Linked DNA regions of Arabidopsis thaliana. The protein of the gene in region 4 binds, or shares a complex with, the protein of the main gene of each other region. Each region holds a gene or a part of one and is shown on either strand. Other genes may lie near its edges.

Region 1 (5,947 bases), about 18 Mb from region 4:
GGTTAGGAGTGCAATTGAATCATTTTTTCAACTATTTCAACTTAAATAGTAAAAAATTGATTGAATGTTTATTCAACTCTTTTAATTTCTTCAATTACGTCAACCATTTGCACTGGTTTGTCAATTACAGCAATAAGATTTTTCTCTGAAAACTCATTACAAGAAAACTTGTTCTATTCTTTAGTGAGTTTTTAATCTACTAATTATATATATGAAAGTTAGCCAACTCTCTCCATATGATTGACACATCATCACTTTAACATTTGCCATGTATCCACTGAATAATTAATGTAAGCTCTTCAACTTTTAATTTATAGATTAATGATGTATTTATTATTTAATTTTACATATTTAATTGTACTAATACTAAATTTATTTTGTTATTAAATGTTTTTCAATAAAATAATTTGATTGATTTTCTCATACTCAAAAGATTTTTTTCTGTAATCTTAACTCAAATTATGAGTGTATAGTAGTCATGGATTAATTAATAGTTTGAATAGTTTGCATATTGTTATATATCTATATAATAAATCGCCGAGGGTGAAGAGTATGTAAGAAGTTTAATCATCAAATTCTTAGGTTTCGAGAATCCCAATATTACCTTCTATTTAATTAGTTTAAGACGAACATTGTTTAGGAATTGTGTGTATAATGCATTGTTGAGAATGTTGTTAGAAAAAATATATTTTAATATTAAGAATAATTACTTATTATATAAGTAAATGATTAGATAATTAAAAATTATATTTAAATTAAACGATACAAAAAATTTAAAAATACCGCAGCGTAGCGCGGGTGATTACCTAGTCATAGTAAAATTAGTAGTGACAGATTTTAAAAAATGACAAGCTTATGCTAGTAACTTTACAAAATAGATAGCATTATATAAATATTTTACTGTAGTATGAGTCAATACTTTTTTAATTATTAATTTAGTCAATATATGTTAGATGCAAATGTATTTTTTTTTATTGACCAATACTTTGGTAGTATAATATTAGTAGTATTAGATATTATTGGCTATAAATAGATTCAACATTGAAACACAAATCATATATATGAAAGAAGACTAACTCTCTCCCACAACTTGACACATAAGCACATGAGAGCTTGCCACCTAGACTTCATAAAATAAGTAATACATAATTAGTAATTAATTCAACATAACAACTAAAATAGGAGAATATAATTAATGAGAACTTGAACCATCACTCTTTCTACATTTTTAATTCAATATATCCTCTTTAATTTTGAGATCCACTTAAGTGGCTAAAGTGATGATAAAATCCAAACATGTTACACATATTCCTGGCCTAAAAATTAGACGATTATTATGAAAGAAACTAAATGAATATGCAGATTAAATATATCTAAGCTTTTCGATATTTATGCTAAGAAAACAGGTAATTTGAAAGATATTTGAGGAGCTATCCTTATAACTAATACGTAAGATATAAGATTATGACAAGAACTTAACTAAACTTTCTAAGAATATCGAGTTGAATATGCTTAGATTGAATATGCAAAGACATGATTAATAAAGACATGTTATATTTTTAGTGTAAGAAATAATTTTTCTAAAATTTCACTGTCTCACAATCTATACATATAACTAAAAAAGCAAGGATATATAAATTCAAAAAAAAACTAAGAATCTAAAACAACAATAAAAAACAACTCAAGCACATTCGTTTTTCAGATGAACTAATATAGTTGGACTTTTCAAAAACAATTACAAAACATATTTATGTTTCAAAACCTATGCATTCAACTTTACTTTATATAAACAGACATTATATAAAACAATTAGTAAATAGTAATACGTAAACCCGCACGTAGTGCGGGTACTCATCTAATTTGTAAATTAATAATTCCTCAATTTGCACCCAAAAAAAGAATTCCTTAACCACGAAAAAAATAAAAAAACAAAATTACAATTTAAGGGGGAAAGTTATATGAAATTGCAAATATAACCACCAAACAAACAATCGACTATCGAGGTTACCCTTAAGAAAATCTTTATTCGCAAGATCTCTCTCTCTCTCTCTCACTCGACGCACTTTAGAAAGAAACCCTAGTCCGACGACCTCTCCTTCGCCGCTGAATCCTCATCGCTGGTCAGATTTCTATCTATCTCGCTCTTCTATGTTTCCCTATCTCGTTGGTCAGATTTCGAATCTTCTTTTTGTTCTCATGGTTTTTGAGCTCAAAACTTTGGGGTTTCAATGTCTCGATGTTATTTCTTAGCGAGGTTTCAATGTTGGCTAAGTGAAGTTTTGGTATTGTCATTTACAGATTCTTGGCGGCTTTCTTTTTGATGAAATTGGATTACGATGGCTGGATATCCTACTAATGGATCAGTCTACGTTTCAAATCTCCCCTTAGGAACTGACGAGAATATGTTGGCTGACTATTTTGGGACCATTGGGTTGCTTAAGGTATGGTATTGGCCAGGTACTAATTGTTGCTTTTGTTTTGACGTCATTGCAATCTTTTATAGGTCACTAGATTTTCGAGTTTCTTACATTTTTTTCTACATTGCTTTTAGAGAGACAAACGAACTGGTACTCCTAAGGTATGGCTGTACCGGGATAAAGAAACTGATGAGCCCAAGGGAGATGCTACTGTTACCTATGAGGATCCGCATGCTGCTTTGGCTGCTGTTGAATGGTTCAATAACAAAGATTTTCATGGAAACACCATTGGAGTTTTTATGGCCGAGTCGAAGAATAAAAATGCTGGTGATGCAGTTGAGTTTGTTGAATTCGATGGAGGTGCTGAGGAAACAAATGGAGGTGCTGGAAGGGGGAGGGGTCAGGCTGATTCTTCGGCAAAGCCATGGCAGCAAGATGGTGACTGGATGTGCCCTAATACAAGGTCTGTGATGTGATATCGGTGAGGAGCTTCATCTAGCTCTTGTTTCCGTTAATTTGCTAGTTTTTATATATTTTATAGTTTCTAGCAGTAGTGTTCTCATACTCTTTCATTGGCAGTTGTACAAATGTGAATTTTGCATTCCGTGGGGTTTGTAACCGCTGTGGAACTGCTAGACCAGCTGGTGCATCTGGTGGCAGCATGGGTGCTGGTCGTGGAAGGGGTCGAGGTGGAGGCGCTGATGGTGGGGCCCCGGGGAAGCAGCCCAGTGGTGCTCCTACTGGTCTCTTTGGTCCAAATGATTGGGCTTGTCCAATGTAAGCATTCCGATTAGGTTTGAAATAGTTAGTTCAGTTTCAGAGGATAATGAGCGTTTGGTACTTGATTAAAACACATCGCAAGAAACAATTTATATTCAGTAGCAAAAGAGAACATTCAGATGGCATATAGCGTTGCTGGATATAAAATTAATTTGTCTTATGTATGGAAGGAATATAGCTTGTATATCAATGCTTTTGATGATGTCAGTTGACTCTTTACTTAGAAAGAAGTGATGGCCCGCTCTGCTGTGCTGTGTCTCTTAAACTGGTCCAAATTATGTGTGGAGGCACATATTTTTTCCTTCTTTTTTGAATGTTGATTCTAATTTCGTAATTTTCCTTCAGATGGCTGTTAATCTGAAAAATGTAATTTGAAACGTGGGTAGGTTGTAGTCTTGATCCTTCTAAGAAGTTATATTTGTGAAGATAGGCTGCCTTCAATTTTCTGTGTCTGATACAAAAAATGGACTATGTTTTAGTTTAATTGCAAGTTATGCTATGTGTCATCGAGTAGCTTAACTAAGAGGCTGCACTGTGTGAATGTGAGTTCTTATGCATAATGCACTTTTTCTTTTTGCGCTAATTCTTTCAGGTGTGGCAATGTCAACTGGGCGAAACGTCTAAAATGTAATATCTGCAACACCAATAAACCTGGTCAGAATGAAGGTGGTGTGAGGTATGACTCAAAGCCAGTGATAAGATTGCCTTTGTATTGTTATCTTGCAATGTTCGAGCTGAGGATTTGGATTATAAATGATTTTACAGTGAATGTAGGAGAGGTCGTAGATTTTCTGTTCGATGTTTGTAGTTTTGTTGTCAGCAGGGTATATTTATTCTGCTTTTAGACAGGGCCTAATAGATACCTGGGAAAAAGTCTCAATACTCTCTTCTGCAATTTGAACGAGTGCTTGTTTTCTTCGACAATTGATTTATCCCACTTGTAATGTTTTATTTTGGCCAAATTAGAGTTGCATTAAGAAACATTAAGGTTTGAGTTTGGAAGGTTGTTTTTATCTAGACCAGTGCTTATTCATTTTTTTTTCTCTAAATAGGGGAGGCCGTGGTGGTGGTTACAAGGAATTAGATGAACAAGAATTAGAGGAAACGAAGAGACGCAGGCGTGAGGCTGAAGAAGTAAGATATGCTTTTCCTGAAGAGTTCTTTGTTTTTTGTTTTTTTGTTGCAATTCGGATGAGCTCTCAGTTTTTTGTATATTCCATTTGACTTATACGTCTAATATATTTCAGGATGATGGTGAAATGTATGATGAGTTTGGGAATCTAAAGAAGAAGTACCGTGTTAAAACAAACCAAGCTGACACCAGACCTGCTGTTGCTGCTGGTCGTGCTGGGTGGGAAGTCGAGGAACTAGGTAAGTTCTGTTTAATTTTAACTAATATGAACTAAATCTATGCAATCATCAAATAGGTTGAGCTTATGAACAGAACCTTTCCACTATAATAGAGATTTATTTGGCTCGATCTATATCTACTCTCTGTGTATAGTCTTCAAAGAAAGTTTCTGCTTGTCATCTAGACACTTGAGTGAAACTTAACATATATGCGGGGAGGGATTTGTTTGAAATTTTACATTAAGCTTGCAGCTAACTTGCCTATAGCCCAAGCCTAGTGGGGATCTCCAATAAACAGTGTTGTTCCTTGTTAGAGTTTTCTTCTTTTCACTGAATAGATATAGAGGAAGATAGAAAAGAATGTTTATTGCTGCTTCCCCAAAAATAGAAAGGTCATGATCCAATGTAGTTGTTCATAATTTATATGAATGTGGCAGGTATTGATAAAGATGGAAGAGAGAGAAGCAGAGACAGGCAAAGAGACCGTGGTAGAGATCATCACTACGATAAGGATAGACGCAGAAGCAGAAGCCGAGAGAGGGAAAGAGGCAAGGAGCGTGACTATGACTATGACCATGATCGGGACAGAGACAGAGACTACGGTCGCGAACGTGGAAGCAGGTACCGTAACTGAGAGATTACTCATAAGTGTTAGGGTTTAGTTTCTCATCTGTTTTGTCGACTTACTTTTACAACGGTATCATTACAATGTCTTCGCCTTTTGTTTACTTATTGTGTGAAGTGAAACTCATTTTGGTTTGAATCAATGGCTATTGTTTTTCACTTGTTTTGGTCTGATTATGTTCTGAGAATACTCCATGTTTATCGTTTCGAAAATTGGTAATTATGGCAAAACATGGTTAGCGACGTCAATTGCTAATTTAGACGTGTATTAAGTATTATTTTGTCTTTTGTAGTATTATTTTTAGTTGTCCCTTTGTTTTTTTTTCCATCGCCAATCATTTCATCGCTGTATGATTTTAATGGGAATAAAAAAAATAGAACAAGAAGATTTTTGTGGACAATATAGTTTCTGAAACTATAATAGGATAAGAAAAAATTAAGCTTATTTGTGGGGATATATATTAATGTCATATCATTGTCATAAACATGGTCGGCAAAACTTGGGACGGCAGTTTACCAGAATAATCCGGTCGACAGAATTCAACAGTTCCTCTCTCTAAAAGATATGAAGGAGATTAATTTTGGCTTTGTTAGCAAAGATGGCCGGTCCTCTTCTGGCAAATCCGGCTTTTACAAGCGGTTTTGGCCGGCTTTTATCCTTCCTCCGCCGTTCGATCGGTTGTTCTTACCGATTGCTTTAGTTTCTTTTTCAGTTTTTCTTTCAATAATTTCTAAAGATTTCAATTGGAGATTAATTTTAGGTCATAATAGCCTAA
Region 2 (3,879 bases), on a different chromosome or scaffold from region 4:
ACGGTTCCCAAAACCAATCTCAATCTCAGCTACTTAACCAGAACAACGCAAGATCCCGAGGTGAAATCTCCGCAAAATTCAAGTTGTTCTTCGGGTTAGGCCTACTAGGGTTTTTCTTGGTGTTCGTCGTTTTAGCTGTGGTCAAGAATAGGAGAATGAGAAAGAACAACCCGAATTTATGGAAGCTTATAGGGTTTCAGAAGCTCGGTTTCAGAAGCGAACACATATTAGAATGTGTTAAAGAGAACCATGTGATTGGGAAAGGCGGACGAGGGATTGTCTACAAAGGGGTAATGCCAAACGGAGAAGAAGTTGCAGTCAAGAAGCTCTTAACCATAACCAAAGGATCATCTCATGACAACGGTTTAGCCGCAGAGATTCAGACATTAGGTAGAATCAGACACAGAAACATAGTGAGATTGCTCGCTTTTTGTTCAAACAAAGACGTGAATCTCCTTGTTTACGAGTATATGCCTAATGGTAGCCTCGGAGAAGTCTTGCACGGGAAAGCTGGAGTGTTTTTGAAATGGGAAACACGGTTGCAAATAGCGTTGGAAGCGGCTAAGGGGTTGTGTTATCTTCACCATGATTGCTCGCCACTTATAATCCACCGTGATGTGAAGTCAAACAACATCTTGTTGGGTCCTGAGTTTGAAGCTCATGTTGCTGATTTTGGGCTTGCTAAGTTTATGATGCAAGACAATGGAGCTTCCGAGTGCATGTCCTCGATCGCTGGCTCGTACGGCTACATCGCTCCAGGTACATGACTGATTCCTAATACTACTTTCTTGTATCACACGTAACATTCAAACTTAGGATTTCAGTACTTCTAGTTAAAACGTATGATTGATCTTAGCCCATTTTATCCGTTTCTTGAATGCAGAATATGCATATACACTGAGAATAGACGAGAAGAGCGATGTGTACAGCTTCGGAGTAGTGTTATTGGAGCTGATTACGGGTCGAAAACCAGTAGATAATTTTGGGGAAGAAGGGATAGACATTGTGCAATGGTCAAAGATCCAAACAAACTGTAACAGACAAGGTGTGGTGAAGATCATTGACCAGAGATTGAGCAATATTCCATTAGCAGAGGCCATGGAACTGTTCTTTGTGGCAATGCTATGTGTGCAAGAACATAGTGTTGAGAGACCGACCATGAGAGAGGTTGTCCAGATGATCTCTCAGGCTAAACAGCCTAATACTTTCTAAATGCAGTGATGTTATATATATAAGAGACTAAATATATATTTTTCTGTTTTATGTGTTTCATAGAGTTTTGTTTTTAGAATTTGTAATGATGGTTTGGTGGTGATATGAGTTTATATTGAAATTGAGGAGGAAAAAAAGGGTTAGCATTATATCTTCCTATCATAAAGTATCAAGCAAAACTAAATAACATTTGCTAGAAAATTATGAATTATGTGAAAGATTTGAAAAAATAGATAACTGTTCTTTGATTCATTTGGAATTATAAAAATCATGATGACCAAAGAAAAATGTTGAAATCACTCAAGCATTTGATTTAACATATGATTATCCAATATCTATAGAAATAGTTAGCATTTGAGTGTTTTTACTTTTTAGTATCCAATTCACTATCATTGATATTTTTAATTTTGTTGTCTAGCTCGATTTATAACATTTGGCTAGTTGTAAATCGTTATCCCAACATTGTATTCCAAAAAAAAAAACCAGTTAGTTATTCAGTGGTTTTGAACTGAGCCCAGCCCAAATCCAATGATGTGGTTCTCGAAACTTTTTGGGTTGGTTTAACAAAAACCGGTTCAGATCTTTTCTTTTGATCCACCAATTGATTGGACTAAACCGACTTATAACAGTCGCTACACTCCTATAGAAAAGCTTGAAATTGAACACAGTCGATGAATTTTCCTCTCCGCCTGGAAGATTGTGGAGCTCCCAGTTGTTGTTAACAACGGTCTAGAGATTCGTGTCTCTTGAAATTCGATCTGAGTTTCACCTTCAAGGTTCGTCAATGATCCGTAGCAATTTGCTTCGTTCTAAACCCTAATTTGAGATCTCAATTATGTGATTTTTTCGTTTAGGTTTTAATCAGGAATGAAGCATTCAAAGGATCCGTTTGAAGCAGCGATTGAGGAAGAGCAAGAGGAATCGCCACCGGAATCACCCGTTGGCGGAGGAGGAGGAGGTGATGGTAGTGAAGACGGACGAATTGAAATCGACCAGACTCAAGATGAAGATGAGAGACCTGTGGATGTTCGCCGTCCGATGAAGAAAGCTAAAACCTCTGTTGTTGTTACTGAAGCTAAGAACAAAGATAAAGATGAAGATGATGAAGAAGAGGAAGAGAATATGGATGTTGAGCTTACTAAATATCCAACTAGTTCTGATCCTGCTAAAATGGCCAAAATGCAGTGAGTCTTTGTAGAATTTTGATTGTTCTTCATGTTTCTTTGATGATTGATTGTTTGTTGAATTCTTCAGAACCATATTATCGCAATTCACTGAGGATCAGATGAGTAGATATGAATCTTTTAGGAGATCTGCACTTCAAAGACCACAGATGAAGAAGGTATATATGTTATATGATTTGTGGTTATCAACATTCTTAATTTTGTTTCATTGCAAATATGAACCATTTAGCTTTTATGTTAATGCAGTTATTGATAGGTGTCACTGGTAGTCAGAAGATTGGTATGCCAATGATTATTGTTGCGTGTGGTATTGCAAAGATGTTCGTTGGTGAACTCGTTGAAACAGGTAAGCCAGTGCAAAAATTTCCAATGATTTTGTTTATGTGCCAACAAAGCTCATTTACTGAACCTCAATACATTATCTGTAGCTCGAGTTGTTATGGCGGAAAGGAAAGAATCAGGACCTATCAGACCTTGTCATATCAGGGAGTCTTATCGGAGACTAAAGCTCGAAGGAAAAGTGCCTAAAAGATCAGTTCCACGCCTTTTCCGCTAGTCAACAAGAGCCAAAAGAGAACTTATATCAGCCTAAGACTGGGGAATTTACCAATGCTGCTCAAGGATAAGGGTCTACGGCAGGTTTAAGCTGGCGAGATTTGCCTATCAATCTCATCATAAAGGAGAACTTCTTTGGCTTCCCTGGTGGATCATATTGTTCTTTGATGTTCTTAACTTTGTGTGACAACTTTTGTAGTAAATCAATCTTTGGATACAGACCCTGAAATGGCTATCAGTCTTACGGTTTGGTTTTTATTTGGTTTACGTTTCCAGTTTTCATTTTCAATACAAGATCAATCTTTGACTACAGACCACATGGCCTAAAAGTGGCAATCCGGTTTACTAGGTTGGATTCGGTTTCATTTCCGGTTTTATAGAATTCGAAATCAAATAAAATCATTTGTAATCCGGTTTATTTGGTTAAATTTGGCTATACCTAAAAATTGGTTTTAGTATTGATTCGTTTTTGGTCGAACATTACAAGAACTGGGTTTATAAGTTCAAATTCAAATTGTGTATTTCTTCGGCGTGATTGAAAACCGTCGCGATCAGAATTCGGTCTACTGTCAAAATTGGTACGGAGACGTTTTGAATCACACAAGTTCCGGCGAAAGAGGATCTAGTGGGCCTGATAATGGGCCGATCTCGAAACGAACTATTACGTGAAGAGAAGAAAACAAAGTGGGTTGCGAATTGAAAGTCTACAGAAAATAAAAGGACTGGATTGGAAAAATAAAAAGAATAAAAGAAGTTTTGACACAATAACGCACCCACTATCTTTCTCCTTCCCTTCCGCCTTCCTTCTTCTTCTTCTTCTTCTTCATCCTCCTCACTGTTTAACGCAGAGCGCCTCCGTTTCTTCTCTTCTCCTCCTCTCTCTTTTCTCTCTACACAAATATTTTTCCCTTCTTTTTTCATTCTCTTT
Region 3 (6,397 bases), 9.1 Mb from region 4:
CTCCAGTGAGATTGGAAAGAGTATCCGACACGTAACCGGATTTAAGGGTGAACTCACAGCTGGTGGCTACGGCGGTGGAGGCCCGGGATATGGTGGTGGTGGATACGGTCCAGGTGGCGGCGGTGGTGGTGTTGTAATCGGTGGTGGATTTGGTGGAGGTGCCGGGTATGGTTCAGGTGGTGGTTTGGGTTGGGATGGAGGCAACGGAGGTGGTGGTCCAGGATACGGGTCAGGTGGAGGAGGTATTGGTGGTGGAGGAGGTATTGGTGGTGGAGTCATCATTGGCGGTGGTGGTGGAGGATGCGGAGGTTCATGCAGCGGAGGCGGTGGTGGTGGAGGAGGATATGGACACGGCGGAGTCAGCACGAAGGGATCAGGCAAAAACTAGAAAAAACATGCAGCTTGCTTTAGGTAGTGAAAGGAAGAAGAAATAAGGATGTACTTTAGCATCTTGATCATGTTTAGGAGTTTGTAATGGCATTAGTTTTAATGGAATAAGAACCTTTCTACAAAAAAAAATAAAGAATTGGTCCTATGTCTTTTCTTGGTTTCAAACATCCGAGCAGATTCTATTGTATACGCGATACAATAGCGTCGATCTTGACATCTGAGGCTCCTTTTCCACCACAGCGATCACATCCTTCACAGAGATTGACCGGACTACTTTTGGTAAACCTTGGTTCTTCCCAAATTGTGTACCACCTACATAAAGTTCGAATATGCAATTAGGAGCACGAAACACAAGAATAACCAGCAACAGAACTGAGAGATTTACTCTTTCAGATCATAGAAACGGGATTACCAATCTTACCAGAAAGTTTCTTGGAGTTTCTTCCTGGCCCTGGAGAAGATCTCTGACGTGCTTCAGCCATAAGTTTCCATTTTGAAAACCTATCATCTCCTCCAACGGCTGCACGAACAGCAACATTTGCAGCCTTGGCTCTCTCTTTATCTTCGTCCTTCTTATTTGCCTGACTTGTGATCAATAAACCTCTTTCAGTGTACGTATGTGTATATCTCCAAAGGTTTAGGTAGTTGGCTCAAGTTCTAAATACCTTCACTTCGTTTGAACGTTGGTCTTCTTTTTCAGTATCATTTTCTTTGTTCTACATCAATGAATATACAAAAAAAAAAAACTAGACATTACTACTGATAACTAAGACAAATAGATATTAAGCTCAGGACAAACCATTACCTTTTCTTCTCCAGAATGTTTCTTTTCCCATTCCTCTTTCACCTTCTGATTCATTTCATTAATTTCTTTCCGGATATCAGATGTGATAAAAGTCCGATTTCTACACTTCTCTGCATCAGTCCGCTGCAAAAGCTCTTGTAACTTCAGAAAGATTTAGGTACAACAAGATCTAAGGAGGCATGAGAAGAGAAAGTAGACTGACCTGCTTTGATATTCGTATTATATTAAACAGTAGTCCTCGCATCCTCTCCTCCACACACTGAATGCGCAAAGCCATGAGAAAAACGAAAACAAAAACAGGAAATTGAAGGCTAATAATTCCAAGAAAAGGTGTTAACATCTCACCAGAGACAAGCACCGCTCTACATCATGGTCTATATGCTTTAAACCACTTTTTCCCACTGTCATATATGAAAGCATACATAAACTTCTTCTCCAAGTGATTCCAAGTAAGGACCAAAGAAGCAGCTAAGATACGAGTTGAAACACAAACTAATTTCTGTCAGCTTTCTCTGCAGTGGAATTTTCTGCAAAAGCGTTCTTTCTTCCTCTCCATGCACAAGTCTTCGATATGCTTTAGAAACACGATCGTTCTTTTTAGGACCAGAATCTAATAATTGTTTTTCCTCTTCCTAGAACAGATGCAGAAAGTAATTTGGTTTATTGTTTCTCTATATCCAGGTTCAAAATGAGAAGTGTAGCAACTCGTAAACATACCCTGAGATTGATGCCACTGACTGCAGTGACATCATTAAACTTTTCAATACTTTCATCTGAAGAAGTCCCACATATTTTTTGCTTCTTTCTGTATATTAAAAAATACATAAGACTTCAATTTAGCAATTCTAAATTGTTAGTAAGGTAAAAAGGATATTATCAGAAAAGCAAAGAAAAAAGGAAGAGTAATTTATGGACGCTGTAAGTAGTTCATCTTTCACAAACCAGCCAGCTCATTACCTTGATGGTGGCAGCGAAGAACCTAGTGCCTCAAGAGGTTTCTTCTGACCAACAGAAGGCATTTTGGGTGTCACCGTAACATTAGCAATCTTGGGAATGGTCTCAGATGGGGCAGGCATATTAACCTGAAGTGTACACAAATAATTTTCACGTAAGATAGATAGTCCATTTACTCTTCACAACCAAAGTTCGAAGCCAGTACAAGGAGAAATAGAAGCCAGGGTGGTCCAAAATATAAGCAAAACGAAACCAAATGCAACATCGGTTGAAGAGAAATGGTCCCCCTATGAGCTTAAAGAGAAGATCAACCAAATTGAAATCTGTCTTTTGAAAGTATAATTTATAAGTTACCATCGTGCTAGAGTCCAGCTGTGTTGTCATTGAAGGAAAAACAGAGCTGGCAGAAGTGGTTGATGTGAATAAACCCATTTTAGAAGACTGCTTCTCCAAGTCATCATTTGAACTAATTGGAATAGCATTCTTCTGTTTCAGTGGAACATTAGTCACGCCTTGCTGCACCAAATAACGAGGTTTATGTGCCTGTTCAAAACTTTGATCAATCAATTTATGCTCCACATGGATCACTGATGAAGAAGGTCCCACTGTATGGTCCTTGGTGACTGATCCTTGCCAAGGAGCAGAATATAGAGGAAAGGATGAGTTCTTTGGGAAGTCGGATATAGGACCATCCTGAACCCTACTTGGACCATTTACAAAAGTTGGCCTCTCAAACTTGGGTACTGTCGTCATGTTTATTGTAGACTTGGTTGGTCCTCCAACACTGGCTATTCCCACATTCTGATTGTTTTCCCTATGCTGGAAATCAGGGAGCTTTGCTCTCGATGATGAACCAGGAGAAGTGACATTTGTCCCTGGGTATGGATTAAGACTTCCAGATTTGGTATCCATATGAAAAGAACTTGATGGAAGCTGCATGTGTTGCTCGGGATGCTTATTTAATCCCTGCACAGTAGTTGAACTGTTTAAGGTGCCTGAAGTTGTAGAAGACAGTTGGTTAACATGAACTTCACGAGGATCAGATTCTTGAGCAGTGAATTCTGCAGTTAATGATTGTATCTGGGATTAGTTTTGTATGCTACAAGGAAATCATAAGATAAGATCTACCAGAAAGTTAAGATGATCTATGATAATTGCAAAAGTAAATGGCATCAACTAAATAAGTTATACCAGCAGATTTAGACACTTTGTCATGGTTTGAGCGTCCAGGTACTTTGATCCCCATATTTCCCTGGTTACACATACAGTTCATTCTGAAACCAGTAAGCCACAATTCCAAGACAAGAAGTATTCAGCTTATACTATTAAAGTGAGAATTCTTTATGTTATTTCCTTTTTAATAAGGTTCAGAAGTGAGATTTCTTTCTCAGCACATGTTCATATACAGAGAAGGAAGCATATAAAACAAGAAACTCTCTTGGAGGCTGCTAAATGAAAATCATTAAAGTACTTATAAATGCTAAGAAAATGGAAAGGGTAATACCGGTTTTAACTGAGGCAGTTGGCTAATTACCGATCTGATTATCTGATCACCTACAAGATCTCTCAGTTGTCGCATGAACTCTTCCATTGTAAGTTCTTTTCTCTGCAATCAAGTATGAAAAGAAACGTAATGTATTAAGAAACTTCGATCAGAGTGCCAATTCATTCATGGATGTAAACTGTAAAGCCACACCTTGAGTTTATAATGCAGGTTAAGACAATGCGTCTTTTTGCCGGGTTGGTGGTCTACCACGGTACGAAGCAAATCAGTAACTCGTGCTAATCTAAGATTATGATTCACAGGGTCAACAGTCTTTTCCACCCAAGGAGTCTCTTTGCTACTCATCTTCTGCAGTTTCATATACCGAGGTTGCGGTTTTTCTGATTCATTACCAGTAGTATTGTTTATAGACTTCAAGTTACTTCCTTGGGGCACATGAGTTCAAGCACCAAAATCAATTATGAGTATGCTCTAATATTTTTCTATGACTAACCGTCACTAAAGCATCATCAAGAACTAACAATCTAATTGCATCCATCAACATTCAACAGTTAACATCAAGTGAAACATGAAGATACATGACAAACCACAAAAATACGACTCGTGAACCTAAATCACTAAAGAAATCTAAAGGCATTTCCCTGTTTTGATACATTCCACAGTTTCGCATATGAATTTTAGGGTCCAAAACGAACCTTCAATATCTCGAATCAGAGAGTCCTGAAACATTTGCAAGTCATCTTCCGAATGCTTAGAGTCAACCTAACGACACGATTAGCGGGAATCGACATTTAGGAGCTTCGTCCACAGAACAAGATAGCGCGTGGATTTTCGCAGACAGTACGGAAATGAAAATGAGAGTGGGAAATTCGAAACCTAACCTCTTCGTCTTCTTCGAGGAGCTTGACAATGGAGAGATCCATGGAGGAATCTCGCGGTACCAAACGTCAATAGCTCAAAACGAAGAGGGAATTTTCAAGGAAACGATTTGTTGTATCCAATAAGATTCCAAATTCCGCAAGTTTTTATATAAAGGGAGATTCTGCGAGAACACCGTGTCGTTTTTTCTTTTTGATAAAACACTGCGCGCCGTTCTGTTGATCTTCTTTTCGGTAGTTGTTTCTTTTGGATAAAACACTGCGCGCCGTTCTGTTCTTCTTTTCGGTAACTGGGCTTGTTCTTGTATATCAAAATTTATTTTTCTTGAATATAATGTTGGAGTTCTTAAACAGTTATTCATATTAGCATCAGACTTTTGCAAAAAAAAATTAATTAACTTTTAGATGAATTTTGATACACGTTTATGACCATTGAGTTTTGGACTTCCCGTAGATAATTCACCAAATTAAAGAAGGGATTATCTACGTTAATTAAACAGTGCTACTAAAGAAAACAAACGACCCGTCAAGAAAGGCTTTTTTCAATTGAAAGTTACGGTATTCTTTTGGTAAAAGAAAAATGAAAGTTGAGTTTTCTTTGGCAGTCTTCCGTAAGATATCACAACTCTTTTTATTTGCTTAGAGCTTTCCAAAATATAAGAAAGAACAATATGTGGATGGTAGTAGAAACTAGAACGTTCTTGATTATGCTTAATTGTGTTATAAATTTTTTGAAAAAAACAGAACCAAAAACAGAGTTGTAGTGGTGTCACTTTATGCTTATTCAGATAAAAAAAAGACTCAACGCGTTTGTAAAATATGTGGTAAAGAATCGGTTTAATAATTTTTAAAATGAAAGAACAAGAAGAATTGGAATCAGTCAAAGTCCAATTTGGTATGTACAGTCAACAAATTCCTACACAACTCTCAACAGTATACAAACGAAATCTTATCGTCTAAGTAAATTTCCTTAAAGTTGAAGTTTGACCGGAAAGTCAAACCGAGGCTTCTTCGCCGGCATAGGGCTCATGACTTCGTCGTCTCCGTTGACCATCGAGAATTCAGGGATCGGAGGGATGTTGAGGTCAAACCCACGGTGGCTACTGCTAACGTGGCTAGTGGACCCCGCACCTTCGGAGTTGGACACGCTACTAGTGTTGATGTTGTTGTTTCCTTCGTAGTGGCACCGCTTGTGTCCGCCGAGAGCTTGACCGGAAGGAAAAGACTTGTTACAGATGGTGCAAACGTGTGATTTCCCACTTCCAGTAGTCACGGCGGATGTGGTTGTCGCCGACGAGGTTGAATGATCATCTCCTCCGCCGGAGAGAGTCTGTGATAAGTTCTTACGGTGGCTTGCCTTGTGACCACCGAGAGCTTGGTAAGAAGAGAACGTCTTGTCGCAGACGCTACACTTGTAGCTCAACTTCTCCACCGCCGGAGGAGGAGGAGGCTGACGGTTGTCGCGAGCGAGAAGCATGAGGCAAAAAGCTAGATACTCTTCCTCAGTGAGGTTTTGGTGGTGGAAATCGGATCTTGATCTCTTAGATCGCTTACCCTTTGTCCAGTGCTCGACTCCATGGAAGACTGAAGAATCTTCGAACAAAGGAGGAATCGGAGAAGCTAATCTTGGTGATGTAAGAGCCTCGAGCGCCATTAAGTTAAAGATTCTGAGGATTTCTTGTCTCTCGAGTTTTAGTTTGAAGGTTGCTTGTGAATTGCAGTGAAGAAATTGTTTAATTGCTGAAGAAGAAGTAATGAAAGTGTGTGTAAATATATAGTAGTAGGTGGAGTGTGGAGAAGGAAGTTGCGTGACAAGTGGTAGGAAAGTGTGAAGAGTGAAGGTGGCGATTAGATAATTACTATATT
Region 4 (4,131 bases):
TCCTCCTTCCACATCACTATAACATTCATCTTCTTCCTCATCAATATCATCATCATATAAGGACATGGCTGATCCATATCCCGAGATTCCTGATGATGATGAAGATGAAGCCGCCGTGAAAACCTCCATAGTCTCTGATAAACGACCCTCGGAATCATCATCATCTTCATTATCATTATCACCATCGTCTCCTCCCATTTCTGTCGCTGGCAGAGGAGGAGGAGCCGGAGGGAGAACAATTGTGTTAGTAAAAGTTGACGATGGCATTATCGTAATTTCGAAACGGAGTTTACGTACGGACTTAACGACTCGCCGCCAGAACCTGGTGTTGAAGGGTTTTCTCCCCGGCGGCGACGAAGCATGAACATGACGACGGAGAACATGTGCATCCCACGTGATGACTTTTTCTTCTTCATGCTCGTGTTGTTTATTTGCTCTATCTCTAATTGATCACAATGATTTTCTTTAGTTGGTAATTGATCACCATTCTTATTTATTGTTTCCATGGTAAAATAATGAATCAAAATATCAGAAAGATGACGAAAAATTTAGAGAAAAACAAAAGTCTTATAATGATGACTAATTTTATAATTATTGCGGTAATTAATTTAATGAAAGAAACAAAAATCGGGTGGTTATTCTAAATTTTTAGGGTTTCGAAATTCCTGACTCAAGAAAAATTAAAGGTCGTCCGTAGATATATACGGGATGCTAGATAATGGGCTTTCTTCTAATGGGCCTACATTTAATATGAGTCGGCCTTGTGCAAGATTTTTTTTCACCTTTTTTAAGTCAACACACTTTTTTTTTGCTACTGTGCTTCGAATTCTGATTACAACCTAAAACGCTGTCCCTAGTCCGGCATCCATGAGGTTCCTCTTACCTAGCATTTGTTCCTCCCGTTGAGGAAAAGCAAGATCAATCAACGAGTTCCTTTTCGTCGACATCAAAAGCTTTGCGTGCTTGTTTCAGCTCTTCCTGCATCGCCAACAGTTCTCTACAGCGGTTCAGTTTTGGCAAATCCTGCATAAATCAAAGACGCCAAAGTTTCGGATATAGAATACAAAACCATAAACCATCTCAATCATCGATTGTGTACTTTTTAAAAAGAATTTTTACCTTGCGGATAAGATACAAGAAATCATCAACTAGAAGTCTTCCTCGCTTTGAACCAATTTCTTGAGCTTTATGTGTCTGCCATTGAAACATCACTTGTTAGCTAATATCTCTCCGCTTGTAATGTAAAACATGAATCATTCACAAAAAGAAAAAGCTCACTACCAAATCTGTGACGTATTCCACAACAATGTCTTCTACAAGCGCCACAGACTCTGGAAGAGGCTAAATACAGAGGAGTTTTGGATCAGTTTCAGGTGGTAAAACACTAAAAGATGTTACACGACCAAGAACCCTTTAAAGCAAAGATTCTCTACCTAATTCGTTACTTGTATTGGAATGAAACTATATCTACAAATACGGTTCATATGGCAACAAAATAGTAATGAAGAGGATAGCGGCTTACGTTTTGCTCGTCGCCAAATCCATACATCATATGCTGCACTGAAAAATCAACAAAAGCACCAAAACCATTGTTACCAGAAGAATCACAAAATGAAGAATACAAAAATCTGGTTTTAACTAAAGACTTTACATTCTTTTTGAAAGAGAGTTTTGCGCTTTTCCTGTGGCTGAGAAGTTCCCGCAGCTTTCGATTTAGACGATGATGACGCCGCCGCTGCTGGTGTGTTACTCATCTCTTCTTCTTCTTCTGATAATCAAAATCCAGGAGAGCAAAATAATAGAAAAATAAGTGAAATTCCTCTACCGACAAAATCCAATTGAGTCAAATACTAACCCTAGGTGAAAATTTTCAAAAAAGAAAAAACAGTGTAATCTCAACTAGAAAATGAAATTCCGAGCCTATATTCTAGATTTCTACCGCAATCAAAACCAGAGAGCTACCGGAAAGTTGTATTCCGGTACAGTACAACAACCAACGGAGTTAAATCGAATAAGGTTCTTTATCCAAATATTTGTCGTCATGGAAAAGGAATGAAAATTGAAAAGGGAATAGTGAGAGCAGAGAGCTCACCGTAGATTGATCGACGGGAGTAGCAGAGGTGGTCGTTGCAAAATCGGCGATGAAGATGATGAGAACGAAGAAACGGGGACTTGTTCACTGATCTCTCTCTCTCTCGTAGAAGAAGCACATTGCATTACATACGAAGTAATTGGGCTTAATAAATAGGCCCATTTATATTAAACCAGCCCATAATCTAAACCAGAAACCCGTACACTAGTCGACCGACATTGTAACTAAGTTCTCACGGTATGGCTCAAACCGGCCATGGCCTCATGCTCAATATTCTTCGGGAGAAGGAAAAGTTTGTGATCCGATTCATATACAATCTATCCGGTGCTCATCATATTACACAAGTATGTATCAAATCTTTTAGCTTGAGCCTAATTTTGTCCTGTCAAGACTCTTTTTTCTATCTATACAAATTTTCTATCATGTTCTTCATCTACAAGATTTGGTTATGCGAACAGGGACTTGATATCGTCTTCTCCCAGCTTTTGTACAACGGCCTCTTCAGAGTCACCTAACGTACTGTAACAAAGCAAATATGTCTTCATATAGGCTTCATACAGTTGACAATAAGAAACCAGCAAAGTTGAGAGAAGCGTATCGTTTAAAATAAGAAACCTTTCAAACAAATCTTCCTTCTTCTTTTGAAGCGTTAGTATCTTTTCCTCTACTGTTTTCTCCATTATGAATCTTACAACCCTGTCACACAACCAAATGTTTCTTCTTTCTTCCCCCACCAAAACAACATACAGTATATTGAAGGACAACTCAAAAATATAACCTGACAGGCTTGCACTGTCCGATCCTATGTATTCTGTCCTGTGCTTGCCTCTCAACCGCTGGGTTCCACCACGGGTCCATCATGAACACCTATACAATCAAACACCCGAATGTCAGTGAATAAAACATGTTCTAGGAGCAACTGTTTTATAAGTTGTACACTTCTTACATGCGAAGCGGCTGTTAGATTTAGAGCAACCCCTCCAGCTTGCAAGCTCATTAATAAAACTCTGCAATCTGGCTCTTCTTTAAAATTTTTGAGTGCAGCATCTTTAGCTGCCTTGGACATGCTTCCCACCAGTTGAACACAGCTAACCCCAGACTGCGTTGTACAAAATGAGTCAATCATTTTTATTCAATGTCTCATTATGATTAAAGAGAATGTTAAAGGAGCACAGATATAGTAGTAGTAGCATTTTGTAGTTGGTTGCGCTTGAAATTACCTTCCCCAAGGCGTAACTTATCAGGTCCAAGAATGATGTGAACTGGCTGAATACTATTGCTTTGGCAGACCAATCTCTTTCAACCATGAACCTGATTTCTTCTCTCTGCATACAAATTTTTTTTATCACCAAATGGTTAGATAAAGCCTCCAATCTCCAAAGAAACTTTAAGCGTGGGAGAGACAGAAGCTGTAGATCTCAAAGGGCACATACCAAAGCCTCAATCTTTGTACTTGTTTTAAAATCATCGAGGTTTATCCGATTTAAAATGCTAGAGGCTCTAAATCCTTTAAGCTTTGTCTTGCTTGCCTGATGTTCACTAGAAGTCACCTTCAAAGTAAGAGAACCAAAGACATATTAACCGAACAAGTTAAGTCCAACATTAGTCATCCGATGATTCTTTAAGAAAGTGTAAAATGGTGGCAGCTATTTCCAGAAGATACAGTTACTGAGAAACAAGAGTCGAGATAGTATGAAATAGCAACAATATATCGACTGGAACACTTACAAAGTAGTCCTTGGAAGGGTCATGGCCGAAACCACATTCTTTCTCATTTTTGTTCGCATCAAGCAAGTTAGCGTTAGCGCCACTAGGACTAGAATAACTCACCAGGTATGGATGATCAACAGCCTGAAAAAATTGCAAGAAAATGCATCAGAAATCTATATACCTATATCATCCAAAACATGCACTGGCTTGTAAATAGAACAACAAAACTATCGATACCACTCACTTGTCTCAGTCGGATAAGAAGACCAAATATATGTGCATAGTTATTCATCAATGTCCCAGCCTGAATATACCTGCAGAAACAAATG

Evidence for each region.
Region 1: TAF13 (region 4) and TAF15 share a complex: the UniProt entries of both Arabidopsis thaliana proteins name them as parts of the TFIID complex.
Region 2: TAF13 (region 4) and TAF11 share a complex: the UniProt entries of both Arabidopsis thaliana proteins name them as parts of the TFIID complex.
Region 3: TAF13 (region 4) and TAF4B share a complex: the UniProt entries of both Arabidopsis thaliana proteins name them as parts of the TFIID complex.

Annotation. Positions count from the first base shown.
Region 1 is NC_003070.9:18,628,052-18,633,998, reverse strand, and holds TAF15 (TBP-associated factor 15), read left to right. Parts: upstream 1-1,959; 5' UTR 1,960-2,120; intron 2,121-2,298; 5' UTR 2,299-2,336; coding exon 2,337-2,441; exon of another isoform or gene 2,442-2,457; intron 2,458-2,551; coding exon 2,552-2,880; intron 2,881-2,996; coding exon 2,997-3,194; intron 3,195-3,789; coding exon 3,790-3,873; intron 3,874-4,249; coding exon 4,250-4,331; intron 4,332-4,444; coding exon 4,445-4,568; intron 4,569-4,984; coding exon 4,985-5,181; 3' UTR 5,182-5,444; downstream 5,445-5,947. Other genes in the region: AT1G50290 (uncharacterized protein), read left to right, coding at 5,737-5,947. UniProt on the Arabidopsis thaliana protein: TAFs are components of the transcription factor IID (TFIID) complex that is essential for mediating regulation of RNA polymerase transcription.
Region 2 is NC_003075.7:10,951,713-10,955,591, forward strand, and holds TAF11 (TBP-associated factor 11), read left to right. Parts: upstream 1-1,827; 5' UTR 1,828-1,988; intron 1,989-2,066; 5' UTR 2,067-2,079; coding exon 2,080-2,396; intron 2,397-2,466; coding exon 2,467-2,554; intron 2,555-2,642; coding exon 2,643-2,742; intron 2,743-2,824; coding exon 2,825-2,952; 3' UTR 2,953-3,364; downstream 3,365-3,879. Other genes in the region: BAM3 (Leucine-rich receptor-like protein kinase family protein), read left to right, coding at 1-759, 884-1,212; AT4G20290 (uncharacterized protein), read right to left, coding at 3,447-3,872. UniProt on the Arabidopsis thaliana protein: TAFs are components of the transcription factor IID (TFIID) complex that is essential for mediating regulation of RNA polymerase transcription.
Region 3 is NC_003070.9:9,642,801-9,649,197, forward strand, and holds TAF4B (TBP-associated factor 4B), read right to left. Parts: upstream 4,577-6,397; coding exon 4,535-4,576; intron 4,525-4,534; exon of another isoform or gene 4,416-4,524; coding exon 4,349-4,415; exon of another isoform or gene 4,079-4,348; coding exon 3,846-4,078; intron 3,756-3,845; coding exon 3,654-3,755; intron 3,402-3,653; coding exon 3,341-3,401; intron 3,211-3,340; coding exon 2,504-3,210; intron 2,278-2,503; coding exon 2,153-2,277; intron 2,001-2,152; coding exon 1,913-2,000; intron 1,828-1,912; coding exon 1,689-1,827; intron 1,597-1,688; coding exon 1,541-1,596; intron 1,455-1,540; coding exon 1,398-1,454; intron 1,319-1,397; coding exon 1,196-1,318; intron 1,107-1,195; coding exon 1,056-1,106; coding exon of another isoform or gene 1,041-1,055; exon of another isoform or gene 972-1,040; coding exon 812-971; intron 703-811; coding exon 551-702; downstream 1-550. Other genes in the region: AT1G27710 (Glycine-rich protein family), read left to right, coding at 1-388; STZ (salt tolerance zinc finger), read right to left, coding at 5,502-6,185. UniProt on the Arabidopsis thaliana protein: TAFs are components of the transcription factor IID (TFIID) complex that is essential for mediating regulation of RNA polymerase transcription.
Region 4 is NC_003070.9:578,707-582,837, reverse strand, and holds TAF13 (TBP-associated factor 13), read right to left. Parts: upstream 2,214-4,131; 5' UTR 2,093-2,213; intron 1,769-2,092; 5' UTR 1,755-1,768; coding exon 1,652-1,754; intron 1,561-1,651; coding exon 1,523-1,560; intron 1,342-1,522; coding exon 1,282-1,341; intron 1,195-1,281; coding exon 1,120-1,194; intron 1,024-1,119; coding exon 919-1,023; 3' UTR 528-918; downstream 1-527. Other genes in the region: AT1G02670 (P-loop containing nucleoside triphosphate hydrolases superfamily protein), read right to left, coding at 2,539-2,611, 2,708-2,788, 2,871-2,959, 3,039-3,191, 3,313-3,417, 3,526-3,642, 3,821-3,943, 4,047-4,116. UniProt on the Arabidopsis thaliana protein: TAFs are components of the transcription factor IID (TFIID) complex that is essential for mediating regulation of RNA polymerase transcription. May be involved in polycomb repressive complex 2 (PRC2) mediated repression.